3 linked regions of the Sus scrofa genome follow. The protein of the gene in region 2 interacts with the protein of the main gene of each other region in a biochemical or structural test. Links are inferred from orthologs where the notes say so. Each region holds a gene or a part of one and is shown on either strand. Other genes may lie near its edges.

Evidence for each region.
Region 1: the proteins of GLRX5 (region 2) and BOLA1 form a complex in vitro, tested with the Homo sapiens proteins (2 studies listed by BioGRID). The link is inferred for Sus scrofa from reciprocal best matches to the Homo sapiens genes GLRX5 and BOLA1.
Region 3: the proteins of GLRX5 (region 2) and BOLA3 form a complex in vitro, tested with the Homo sapiens proteins (4 studies listed by BioGRID and IntAct, with this or other methods). The link is inferred for Sus scrofa from reciprocal best matches to the Homo sapiens genes GLRX5 and BOLA3.

The regions. Positions count from the first base shown.
Region 1 is NC_010446.5:99,155,495-99,158,691, forward strand, and holds BOLA1 (bolA-like protein 1), read right to left. Parts: upstream 1,744-3,197; 5' UTR 1,654-1,743; intron 1,291-1,653; 5' UTR 1,288-1,290; coding exon 874-1,287; 3' UTR 565-873; downstream 1-564. UniProt on the Homo sapiens protein: Acts as a mitochondrial iron-sulfur (Fe-S) cluster assembly factor that facilitates (Fe-S) cluster insertion into a subset of mitochondrial proteins. Probably acts together with the monothiol glutaredoxin GLRX5. May protect cells against oxidative stress.
Region 2 is NC_010449.5:116,786,070-116,790,222, forward strand, and holds the start of GLRX5 (glutaredoxin-related protein 5, mitochondrial), read left to right. Parts: upstream 1-1,276; 5' UTR 1,277-1,410; coding exon 1,411-1,696; intron 1,697-4,153.
Region 3 is NC_010445.4:68,882,261-68,886,515, reverse strand, and holds the start of BOLA3 (bolA-like protein 3), read right to left. Parts: upstream 2,934-4,255; coding exon 2,880-2,933; intron 301-2,879; coding exon 177-300; intron 1-176. UniProt on the Homo sapiens protein: Acts as a mitochondrial iron-sulfur (Fe-S) cluster assembly factor that facilitates (Fe-S) cluster insertion into a subset of mitochondrial proteins. Probably acts together with NFU1.

The sequences.
Region 1 (3,197 bases), on a different chromosome or scaffold from region 2:
AAAACTCTGCAATGACTTCCTACTGTTCAACCAGATGCATCCTAAATTCCAGCCAGAAACAGTCCATACACCTTAATCAAGCTTTTTCTCTAGTACTTTCCATCTCCACATGAGATCATTACAAAGTTGCATATCTAGACACTACTTGAGTTCTCTTCAGAAATAAGACATTTGGAAGGCTCATATGAAAAAAGGCCACATAAAGTTTTTTCCATCTTCTATACTCATTTCCTAGGTTATCATCTTTTCACTGCTTTAGTGATAGTTAAAAAAAAAAAATTTTTTCCACAAAGAAATGTAATCCTTTTGGAAAAGAATAGGTTGTTAGAAAGCCAAACATTCCCCAAGTCTGAAGTTCAAATGCATCTATAGCTGCTGTCTTGTCACTCTCTGTCCAGTCCAGCTTCTATGCTTTTGCTTGGGCTCTTCCCCCTACCTGCAACAACTGTCCTCTCCTTTCTGGTTTAATGAATCCCTTCCTGACTATCCTAGGCCTCAAGTATCTTTCTCCTCCCGAGAACATCTGTAGCACTGACTCAAAAGGCCATTAATAACACAGCAATTCACTTCATACGATAATTTCTCTTTTAATGTACAGAATTATCTGCAACTCATAAGGTCTGGTGGTTCCTTAGTCACAATTTAACACAAAACATTTTCCTGAATGGTCCAGGCCAAGAGCTGTAGAGAGAGATTCTACTCTTTCCTTGGGTTAGCCTTGATGTGAAATGAATTGCTGTCTCCAGAGAATAAGTATATGCCAGTTGAATGGGGCCCAGGGTCCTCATCTCTTACAGATATTGAAGGGAAGAAGGCCCCAGTAGTTTATTCTCACCCAACCCATTTGGCTCCTCGTCCTCCCTCTCTCAAGACTCAGGGAGTTCCTCGAGTTTTCTTGCTCCCGCCCAGGCAAGGGGGGCTCGTGTCCAGTTGAGGGTTCTCTCTCCACTGGGCAGGGGTGCGCGCCTGTATGGCCAGGGCATGGACCGGCCCAGCCAGTTCTTCGGACAGCGCCGTGTGGACCAGCCGATGCCGTTGTAGGGGGCTCAATCCCTCGAAGCGAGAGCTCACCACAGCCACGCGGAAATGCGTCTCACTGCCTGGTGGGACTGCGTGGCCACCGCTCTCATTACGCAGCTCCAGCACCTCGGGGTTCAGGGCCTGTTCCAGCTTCATGCGAATGGCGGCCTCGACGGGACCGATGGTCCCTGCTCCCGTGCTGCTCCGGGACAGACAGACGCGCCCGGCCATGGAGAACAGGCGTCCGACCAGCTGCCCACTCAGCATCGGCTAAAGCAGAGACAAGGACAGGAGCAGTGAGGGGTCAGGGCCTCTCGCTTGGTGAGAGATCAGTCTCTCAACTATCCCAGCCCCGGCCTCGGCTCCAGCTGGGAGCCCGCCGCCCCGCGGGACAGTGAAACGGGAGCCACCGCCCCTTTCCTCAGTGTGACGTGGGGGAAATCTGGCCTCCCGCCTTGGGCAGCGAATGGGCGACTGTAGAGTACACAGGGCCAGAAGTGAGGCATGTTCTTTACTAAGGTGATTCGCAAAGAATAAGATGGAGGTTGCAAGAGTAGGGTATGTGCAACTCTGGGCTTTTGGTTGAGCAGTGTCTCTGTGTCCCCTCTGAACCCCAGGCTGGGCCCCTTCTACCTTGCACTCAGGCTTGAATACCGCAGTTCCGACTCCCGGAAGGAACGGCTGAGGGTCAGAGCCAAAAGCAAATCTCGCGTCCTGAGGCACGCTGGGAAATGCAGTCTCCGCTACGCGATACCCGGCAGGTGCTATTCGATGCCCCGAGGGCTTCTGGGAACTGTAGTCTCTACTTCGCCCGATTTGTGAGGTCGTCAGAGGTTGTGAACCCGAGGAATTGCAAAGAAAACGGAAATTCCTGAGCAATTGGGATTGAGATTTTTCAATTCATTTTATTTCCAATAGGTCTTGTAGATCAGCTAGCCCAACATCTTTATTTTCCATATATTGTGGAAATCTATTTCATTTATTGAATACATAATTATTTTGCATCGGACCAGTCCCGGAGGGTGGAGAGGTAAGACAGGCCCTGTCTGTCCTCGGGCAGTTGATGGAACACTGGAGAAGATGGACAAGTTAGCGGACAGTTGTAATGCCATGTGCCAAGGGCTGTAATAAGGCCAAGAACAGGATGCTAGAGCGGCATATTGTCGAGGCTTGGGGGAGCAGAGGAAACTTAGAGGAAGAGTTTAGAAGAGACACAAAACCCCATTCTCAATTCTTCATAGGGGGGTAGCTGCATGCGCAAAGGCCTAGAGGAGAAAGAACTTTGGTGGGATGGGGGTGAGGGTGGGGGTGGAGGTGTTCCTTTCGGTGTAGTTAGGTATGGTTGGACCCCACGGGGCCAAGATGATGATGATGGGAAGCTGAGGGAGTGTGTAGGCCTGTGGGGGGAAGAGGCAGGAAATCATGCTGAGCCTTGTAGGCTTCCTGAGGTAGTTTTGCCTTTATCCTAGGAGCTGTGGAAGCCAGGGAAGGCTTTAAACAGGGAAGCTCCCGACGTGGCGCAGCGGAAACTAACCGACTAGGAACCATGAGGTTTCGGGTTCGATCCTTAGCCTCACTCAGTGGGTTAAAGATCTGGCGTTGCTGTGGCTGTGGTGTAGGCCGGCGGCTACAGCTCCGATTAGATCCCTAGACTGGGAACCTCCATATGCCGCAGGTGCAGCCCTAAAAAGACAAAAGACAAACAATAAATAAATAAATACAATAAAAACAGGGATACTAACAGGATAAGATTTTTCCCAGATGACATGTAATTTGTCAATTCAGTCTATATTTTAGATTTCTCCATACTTTTTTTTTTTTGACTGCATCAGAAATTCCCAGACTAGAGATGGAACCTGCCCCACAGCAGCTACCAGAGCCACAGTAGCGACAATGCTGGATCCTTAACCCACTGTGCCGCTAGGGAATTCCTCCAACTTCTAATTTTGAAAAATTTCAAACCTGCAGAAAAGTTGAATAGTATAAAGAAATATCATCTACCTTTCACCATTTTTTACATGTGTATATTATTATATGCTTGTACATATATACATTTATATTTAAGGGTTTTTTTGTTTTGTTTTGTTTTTGTTTTTTGCTACACCCTTGGCACCTGGAAGTTCCTGGGCCAGTTATCCAATCCATGCCACAGTAGCCACTCGAATGGTGGCTGCAAT
Region 2 (4,153 bases):
ATTATCACCGTGGCAACAGTACCCAGGAACTATCAGAGGAAAATTGCACATCGTACTGCTGGCTCTTGAGCAGTTATGCCTCAGCTTCCTCTGAGTCTGCTTTCTCTGCAAGTCTGGTGTGCTCTAGGGTACCACCAACCCTGGGCGGCTCCAAGACTACAGATCACTTGGCGATGTCGCTGAGCCCCGCTCTCCCGGGAATCGTTCTTTCCACCAATATGTGCACCCGCCACGTTCCAAGCACTGTTCTAGGTACTGAGAATACAGCAGTGAATGAAGTCGAGGGTCCGGGAGAGAAGTCAACAAACAAGTTAGCAAACACGTGTCAAGGTGTAATAAGCACAATGGAGACTAGAGAAAGCAGTGGGTCTAAGGAAACTGCCTTTCCCTCCTCTGCACCCCACATTGCTTTGTACCTGCTTCTCATTTCTCAAGCTTTGGGCACAGGTCTCTCTGGAGGTCCCGCACCGGCCCCGTGCCTTGCACGCCACAGCTGCGCAGAAAACGTCTGTCGAACGAGCCAATTCCCTTCTTAGCTCCCGGTTCAACAAACCCTTCCTGGGCCCAGGCCCAGGGGCTTAAGTAGGCCGGAAAGTCAGCGAAGCCCCGATCACACAGACGAGAGCGCTCTACAGTGTTTTAAAATAAAAGCTGTTTTAGTGAAGTAATCGCGGCCCATGGGCGGAAACCAGGCCTCCGCTCTCACATGGGCGGCGGGACCGCGAGAGGCTCCGAGGCACAGGGCCAGGTCGGACGCGGTAGCCCTCGGCAGGCCTGGCCGCCAGAGCCCGGCTTGGTCCACGCTCCCGCCGCGAACGGCTGCGGCATTACAGACGCTCCGGGCCGCTCTCCTAGACCCAGACCTACTCCAGCGCCGCTACCACCCTTACGGCAAGAACCAGGCACCTACCAACCGCGCTGCCGTAGCAACGCAACCAGCCAGACACTGCACCGGAACCGGAACCTCCATCTGGCAGTGACCCCCCTTCCCCGACATCCTCGGAACGGCGAAACCCCGCCCAGTGCGTCCCACTCACCCGGAGTATCCCAGCAGGCCCGCCCGCCCTTGGTGGCGAAGTCGTCTTCCCGCTGGTTTCGCCTCTGCTAGTCTCAAGCGTGACCTTGATGGACATGCACTCTCTCCAATCAACTGATAGAGAGGTTGCCAACCGCCAATGGTAAGGCGTCAAGCTAAGGACCTCCTCCAAGCTATCGGGGCGGGACAAGTAATATGATTGGTAGAATCCAGTAATTGCCGGCCAGCGTTGTCCAATCACGTAGAGCTATTCGGAGCCGGTCCAATGAGGGTCTCCGGGGGACGGGGCGGGCCGCCGCTGGCCAGGCCCCAGCGAGGCTCCTGCTGTCTAACTCAGGTCCCGAGCTGTCCAGGGCTCCGGCGAGCGTACGGGGATGAGCGCGTCCCTGGGCCGGGCGGCGGCGGCTCTGCTCCGCTGGGGGCGCGGCGTAGGCGGTGGTCTGTGGGTCCCGGGCGTGCGGGCGGCGAGCTCGGGCGGGAGCGGCTCAGCGGAGCATCTGGACACGCTGGTGAAGAAGGACAAGGTGGTGGTCTTCCTCAAGGGGACGCCAGAGCAGCCCCAGTGTGGCTTCAGCAACGCCGTGGTGCAGATCCTGCGGCTGCACGGCGTCCGCGACTACGCGGCCTACAACGTGCTGGACGACCCCCAGCTCCGGCAAGGTCAGGGCCGGCGGGGGCGGGGCTGGGGGGCGACAGGCCGAGGCCTCTCTGCGGGGGGGAGGGTCTCTCCGCCAAGGTCTCTGCGGAGGTTCAAACGGGGTTAGGGCGCGGGCTTCCACTCCGCGTTGGAGGGTCTGGAGTGGGGGCGTGATCACCTTGAACCGGGTCTTGAGGATCTGGGGCCCTGGGCCAACCTGGGCAGTGGGGTAAGTCCTTACTTAGCTGTTCCCCCGAACCTCACTCTGAGCAGAAATAGGCATTCGGGGGCATTCTCTGGGGCTGAGTCCAAGTATCGTGGTCAGCAGCCTCACTCCTCGCTCTGCAGAGCTGGGAAGGTGGGACAAAGAGGGATACAGGGGGAACCACTAAGGAGACACTTTGAAGCCGTGACCTGTCTCGTGGATAAGTGTCCTGTTGATGGTGGAGGGAGGGCCGAGGTTGAGGCCAAGGGGGTCGGAGGCTGGTCTGCTGTGCCTCGAGGCTCGCGGTGTCAGGGACCGGCCACTGTTGTTGCTGCAAGGAGGGGCTTGACACAGCTTTTGGACTGGTCTTAGCCGGGTTCTGGCGTTGTGGGAGAAAAAGATAGGAAATTCGTTTTTAGGTACTCGAGATGGGGGAAAGCTGGGGGCTAGGGCTTGGAGAGGCTTGTAGGGATGGGATGGAGGGATGACTTTTGGGCCCCGGCTAACTCAGGTTTGGGAGCTCCAGGAGCCCAGGGCCAGGCAGATGGAGGAGGGTCTGGGCCTTTTCCCTGGGCCCTGGGGCAAGGTGGAGGGCCTTGGCAGCTAATTAGCGTCTTTCCTGTTGAACTCCAAGCTAAGATCCTTCCCTGCAGTCTTCTGTTTATCTGAGTGAAGGCAGAGAAAGAGGAAGAGACCGGAACCCCTGGGTCTGCCCTTGGCTAGGGTTGATGGTGTTGCTGGAGAAATGGGGAGACGATGCTTGTACCCTCCGAAGGGTGGCCTTTACGTTAGACTTTCAGTGTCTGAGTTCCAGCATCGCCCTCGTATCAGGCTTTTGACAGTGTTCTGGAGGGAGTTTGAGGGCACCAGGTTCTCTGGTGTTCTACAAGGAGAATTCTGCTTTTGAAGTTGTCAATCGTAGACACTCCGACATCAAGGAGCCAGGCCGGTGTCACGGAGAGGCTTTGGGCTAGAGTCCTTCTGCGGCCAGTCAGCCACAGAGCAAGTCACACACGTGCATTTTCCTTCTCAGTAGCAGGAGGATGATGAAACCACACTTGACAACGTTTTTGCGAGGGAAAAAGAGAAAGAAAAACTTTTTCGAAAGTGCCTGTCATCTTTCCTGGCACACAGAAGACACCCATTAAATGGTCTCTGTTTTATTATTAGCACTTTATGTTTTGAAAAGTTCCTCCCCACCCAGGTTATCTGATCCTTAGAGAGCTCTTGGTTTTGGTGGATGGAAAAGAGGAGCGGAGAAGGCAGCTTAGCGTTCCCAGGTATATGTCATTACAGTGTATTGTGCTTATGATCCTCTGTCTTCTTGAAATGCTCCCAGTTGCGGGGTTTTTTTTCAAAGACAGGGTGAGCTGCAGTCTTCAGCTGGCACTGGCGTTCCTGCTTGAAAGATTAGATAGGAGAAACTGCTCTGCAATCTCCCTGCCGGGACCATGCCTGAGGCCCCTTGCAAAAAGTTGTGTTGTTGATATTTTGCTGACAGTAAAGTCTTGAGTGTCTTTGGTGTGTGAATTGCCATTCTGATTCACAGACCCAGAGATGGTCTGACTTTATCATACACCTGAAACATTGTCAGTCAACTACCCTTCACTTTAGAAAGGTTAAAAAATACACCCAGTATGAGGTTGCGGGTTCGGTCCCTGGCCTTGCTCAGTGGGTTACCCATCCGGCGTTGCCGTGAGCTGTGGTGTAGGTTGCAGACGCGGCTCGGATCCCGCGTTGCTGTGGCTCTGGCGTAGGCCGGTGGCTACAGCTCCGATTCGACCCCTAGCCTGGGAACCTCCATATGCCGAGGCAGCGGCCGAAGAAATAGCAAAAAAAAAAGACAAAAAAAAAAAAAAAATACAGCCAGAGATGGGCTATGCTGGAATATGGGCAGTAAACTGAAAATAGGGGCAGGAATGGAGGAGTGTTTACTGAGAGCACTTGGGCGTCTGGCTTCTGGTCTTCTGTTCTTAAGCATTCAAGCAACAGACTTTAATCCTCAAATTTCTTGACCGCTGAGTTGCTCAGATTGTTCCTTTGCTTAGTACACGTGTTGCACATAAACTGAACCTAACACTAGTCTTCGTTGCTTAGAAAGTGTACATTGGTGTACGTATTAACCTCCAGACTGGGGCGGGGTGGTGTAAGCGTGTGACCGCAGAAGGGGCTGGTTTCACCAGGGTGAGGCTTTCAACCATTAGGATGCCTCACCTTGCCCTCTGGGCCGTGGAGACCAGCAGGCTGTCTGATGCTTGCTCTTGCCAACTAAAGA
Region 3 (4,255 bases), on a different chromosome or scaffold from region 2:
CCTAGACTGGGAACTTCCATATGCTGCAGGTGTGGGCACCCCCCCCCAAAAAAAAACAAAAGCCTTATGTGTGGAAAAGCCAGAGATGATGAGTTCCCACCAAGCCTCCTGCTCTCTGCCCCTTCAGCAGGTAAAAATCCTACCAAACTGTGGGAGAGATGAGGGAGAAATCTTACCTGAAATGTCAGTGACTTTGATAGCTGTAGCTCGAGGAAATTTTTCTTTGAGAATTTGGGTCACTTTGCGCTCCCCCTCAGTCTGCGAGGCAAACATCCGCTGGGCAGAGTGGAGAAGAGGGAGCTGCCACAGAACAGAGGAGAGTCACTGTGGTGGTGGGGGGGGGCTGCCCTCCCCCCACAAGGCAGGGCCCCAGGCTAAGGCAGGGCAACTGCACTGTGTTCCGTTATGCTCCCCAGGAGGCAGAACAAACTTTATTTTGAGGAGGGAATGGAATTGTAAATAACTCACTTTGATGGTAGAGACAAGGCCCCAAACTTCATTCCATAGGTGTTTAACTAGTGATAATGTTATGAGAGAGACACTATCATGATGACTTTTTTTTTTTTTTTTTTTTTTTGCTTTTGAGAGTTGTACCCAGAACATGTGGAAGTTCCCAGGCTAGGGGTTGAATCAGAGCTCTAGCTGCCGTCCTATACCACAGCCACAGCAATGCCAGATCTAAGCCGAGTCTGCAACCTACACCACAGCTCACCACAATGCTGGCTCCTTAACCCGAGGAGCGAGACCAGGGATCGAACCCACATCCTCATAGCTCCTAGTCAGATTCGTTTCCGCTGAGCCACAAGAGGAACTTGTGAGGACAGTTTTATGAGTGAGGAGCCTGATGCACTAGGTAATGTCTAAGGCTGGATCCATCAGTAGATGCAGAACCAGGAAAGGCCAGGCCACCCGGCTCAGTCATTACCACGTACTGATGAGGCCAAATGCCACCCACCCTTAGGCCTGATTAACATTCCACATTCTCTCCAGTGGGATGTACCCCTTTACCTATTGCTTGATAAGCCAGCTACCCTTTGCAATTCTTTTTGTTTGTTTGTTTGCTTTTTAGGGCTGCACCGGAGGTATATGGAAGTTCCCAGACTAGGGGTCCCATCGGAGCTACAACTGCCGGCCTACACCACAGCCACAGCAACGCCGGATCCTTAACCCGCTGAGCAAGGCTAGGGATCAAGCCCAAGTCCTCATCCTCATGGGTCCTAGTCGGATTCGTTTCTGCTGCGCCACAATGGGAATGACCCTCTTTGCAATTCTCACTGGAGAGAAGAAACAGAATTCTGTTAAAGGACCTGAAGGAGGAACCTTATTAGATTTACCATGGGCAGCAGCACTCCCCCTCCCCCTATGGCTACCCCAAGGAGCCAGGGCTCCTGATGGGAATGTGTCTCAACCCTTAGCAGACGACCAGGTCAGCAGCCCCTTGACTGGGTTGAGCACATGCTGAAAAGGGAGAATGAAAACAGAGCATGGCAGGCCTTGAATGTCAAGCTAAAGACTTTGGGTTCTGTTAGACAGATTCTTGGTGTCAAAGTAACAGTGCATTTGAAGATAAGTCAGGAAAGATGCCCATACGAGAGTATCACTACAAAGGAGTAATATCAGGCAGCCCCACTGGAGAAGGATGGTCCTTAGAGCGCTGTTCATCAAGGGCTGGTGCTGAAGGTACCATCCCTTTATCCCCTTAGTCCTGCTCATCCTTAGGCCTTTCCTGATGGCCCAGAGCAGGGTCCTATGTTAGTTAAAGAATCTCAGATCACCTCCTTTAAATGCCCTGTGCACTAACTCTTTCACCAACTGGTCTCAGAGGCCAAGACTGAGTCTGTCCTGTTCTGCAGTCTTCCAGAACTGCCCAGGGCAGGCCCTCCGGAAGATGTGGGTGATGGATGAATGAATGAATCAATGAACAGGGGAAGAACCACGTGATTCAGGGCATACCTATGGATCACCAGCAAAGAAATCTCGATTCTAACACTTAGCAGAAATGCAGGTCAGGAGAAAGATCTGACTTGGGAGGGAGACTGAGTGCTGTATGTGACAGACACTTGATGTTGTGGGCCTGGGTAAGATGGGGTGGGGGGGTTAGGACCTCTCCTGAAGCCAGTGCCCTGGGGGACAAAGGCAGAGGGTAACCAGGTGGCTCGGAAGAAGCAATCACTAAGGGGTCAGGGTGGTTGGCACTGCTGACTCCTTGGGAGAAACCTTCCCTCATCTCAGCTATCTGCAGGCAGTGGCTTTTAAAAACCTAGCAATCTACTGACAAAAATCTCCGGAATGCGGACTGTCCAGGCTGGAAGTCACCAGGAGAATTGCTCGTCATGCCTGGGGGAGGCAGGTTCAAAAGAAGAAAGAATGTGAGAAGAAAGCCAAAGAAGTGGATGAATCAGAAAGGGGGAGAGAAAATTCGGAGAGCGCGTGGGGAGTGCCCTCTGCGGGCTTGCTACTAGGGGAGTGTGGGATTTGGGGAGGGTCAAGGTCACAGAAGCCGGGCGGACGTTCTGGAGCCCAGACCCAGCCACAGTCCCTGGCATGCACGCCGCGACTCCCGGCTATGCCTCCCACGTCTCTGGTAAATCAACACTGCTTGGTCCGTGGCCGCCGTATTCAGAATGTTTGCGCATCCGTTCCCCTCGCCCTCCACCCCCGCCCTGTTCGCGGGAGCTCCCCCAGCCCGCGCCGGGCCTGACACTTCGACTACGCGTAGCCGGGCCCGCTGGATGAACGAACCAACGGATGAGAGAAAGAACGCGGAGGCCCCCGGCTCGGCGCGCCGCCCTCCGCGAGCGGGTGCTCCAGCTCTGGCCGCAGCCCGCCCCGCGGTCTCCCGCCCCGGCGAGAGCAGCCCGGCCCCCGCCCGCGCTCACCCCGCGGCTCCCGCGGAGCAGAGGCGCTGCCGCGGCCGGGCTCCAAGCAGCCATGCCCGGCCGACGCGGCCCGCCGCCCGAGGTCGCCGAGTCTCCCAAAAGGCGCGGAACCCGGAACCCGAGCCACCTCCGCCGTGGGCGAGGCCGCCCCCTGCCGTCTGGAGGCCGGGAGCCGCCCCGCACGCCCGGGGCCCCGCCCTCCGCCTTCTCTCGCGAGCAGCCTCCGCTGCCCAGGCTGGGGACAGAGCCAGTACCCGGGGCTCCATGCAGCCTTCGGACTTCCCCTCGTCCCAAGGACCCTGGTGCCCTAAGTGGACCGCCGCTGTGCCCACTCACCACCCCACACCCTGCTGTTAAACGGAGGGTCTTGGGGGTTCCCGTCGTGGCTCAGCGGTTAACGAATCCAACTAGGAACCATGAGGTTGCGGGTTTGATCCCTGGCCTTGCTCAGTGGGTTAAGGATCCGGCGTTGCCGTGAGCTGTGGTGTAGGTCGCAGATGCGGCTGGGATCCCGCATTGCTGTGGCTCAGGTGTAGGCTGGCAGATTAGACCCCTAGCCTGGGAACCTCCATATTCCACAGGAGCGACCCTAGAAAAGACAGAAAGACAAACAAAAACACAAAACAAAACAGAGGGTCTTGGGTTTCTCCCTCCAGGAAGGAACCAGGGAAGGATTCTAAAGAGGGGAGTCATTGTCAGATTTGTGCTTTAGAAAGATCACTGAGGAGCGGAGACAGTAGGGGGCTGAAATTGGAGAGGAGGACAGAAGTCCCAGCTTCTGTTCCGAAGGAGAGGGGAGACCCAAGGGGAGACCTGGTAGCAGGGATGGGAGGAGTAGATTGAGACACCTGGGAGGAATGGACTGGAGTGACCGGCTGAAAGTAGCAGGGCTGAAGGTGGCAGGGATGAGGCTCAGGTTTCTGACTTGGATAGATGGAGGAGGGCTAGGCGTGGGATGATGGGGATTGACTAACTTGGTTTTGAATTTGCCTCAGTTTAAGGTGCCTGCAGGACACGGCTCAGCAGAGGTGGAGGCTTGGAGTCACAGACCTTGGCATTTTGAGAATGCAGGGGAAGCTGACACTATCAGGGACGGATTGTCAGCAAATCTGCCCCATGTCTGGAATACTTCAGACAGTTCGAAGCAGAAATTCAACCAAGCCCTTTCTCTCTCTAGCAGTATGTGCATATAGCATGTGGTCTGGTATACCGTGAAGGATGAACCAGCTCTTTTTACTCTTGCATTTTGCCTATGCAATCAGTATGTTCACTGCTGCACTTGGATGGGTTGTGTAAGCAGATAGGTAGAAGGTCCCGGAAACAGAGAACCAGGCATGGATTTTTGACATAAGCCATTTTCAGCCTGTCATTTGTGA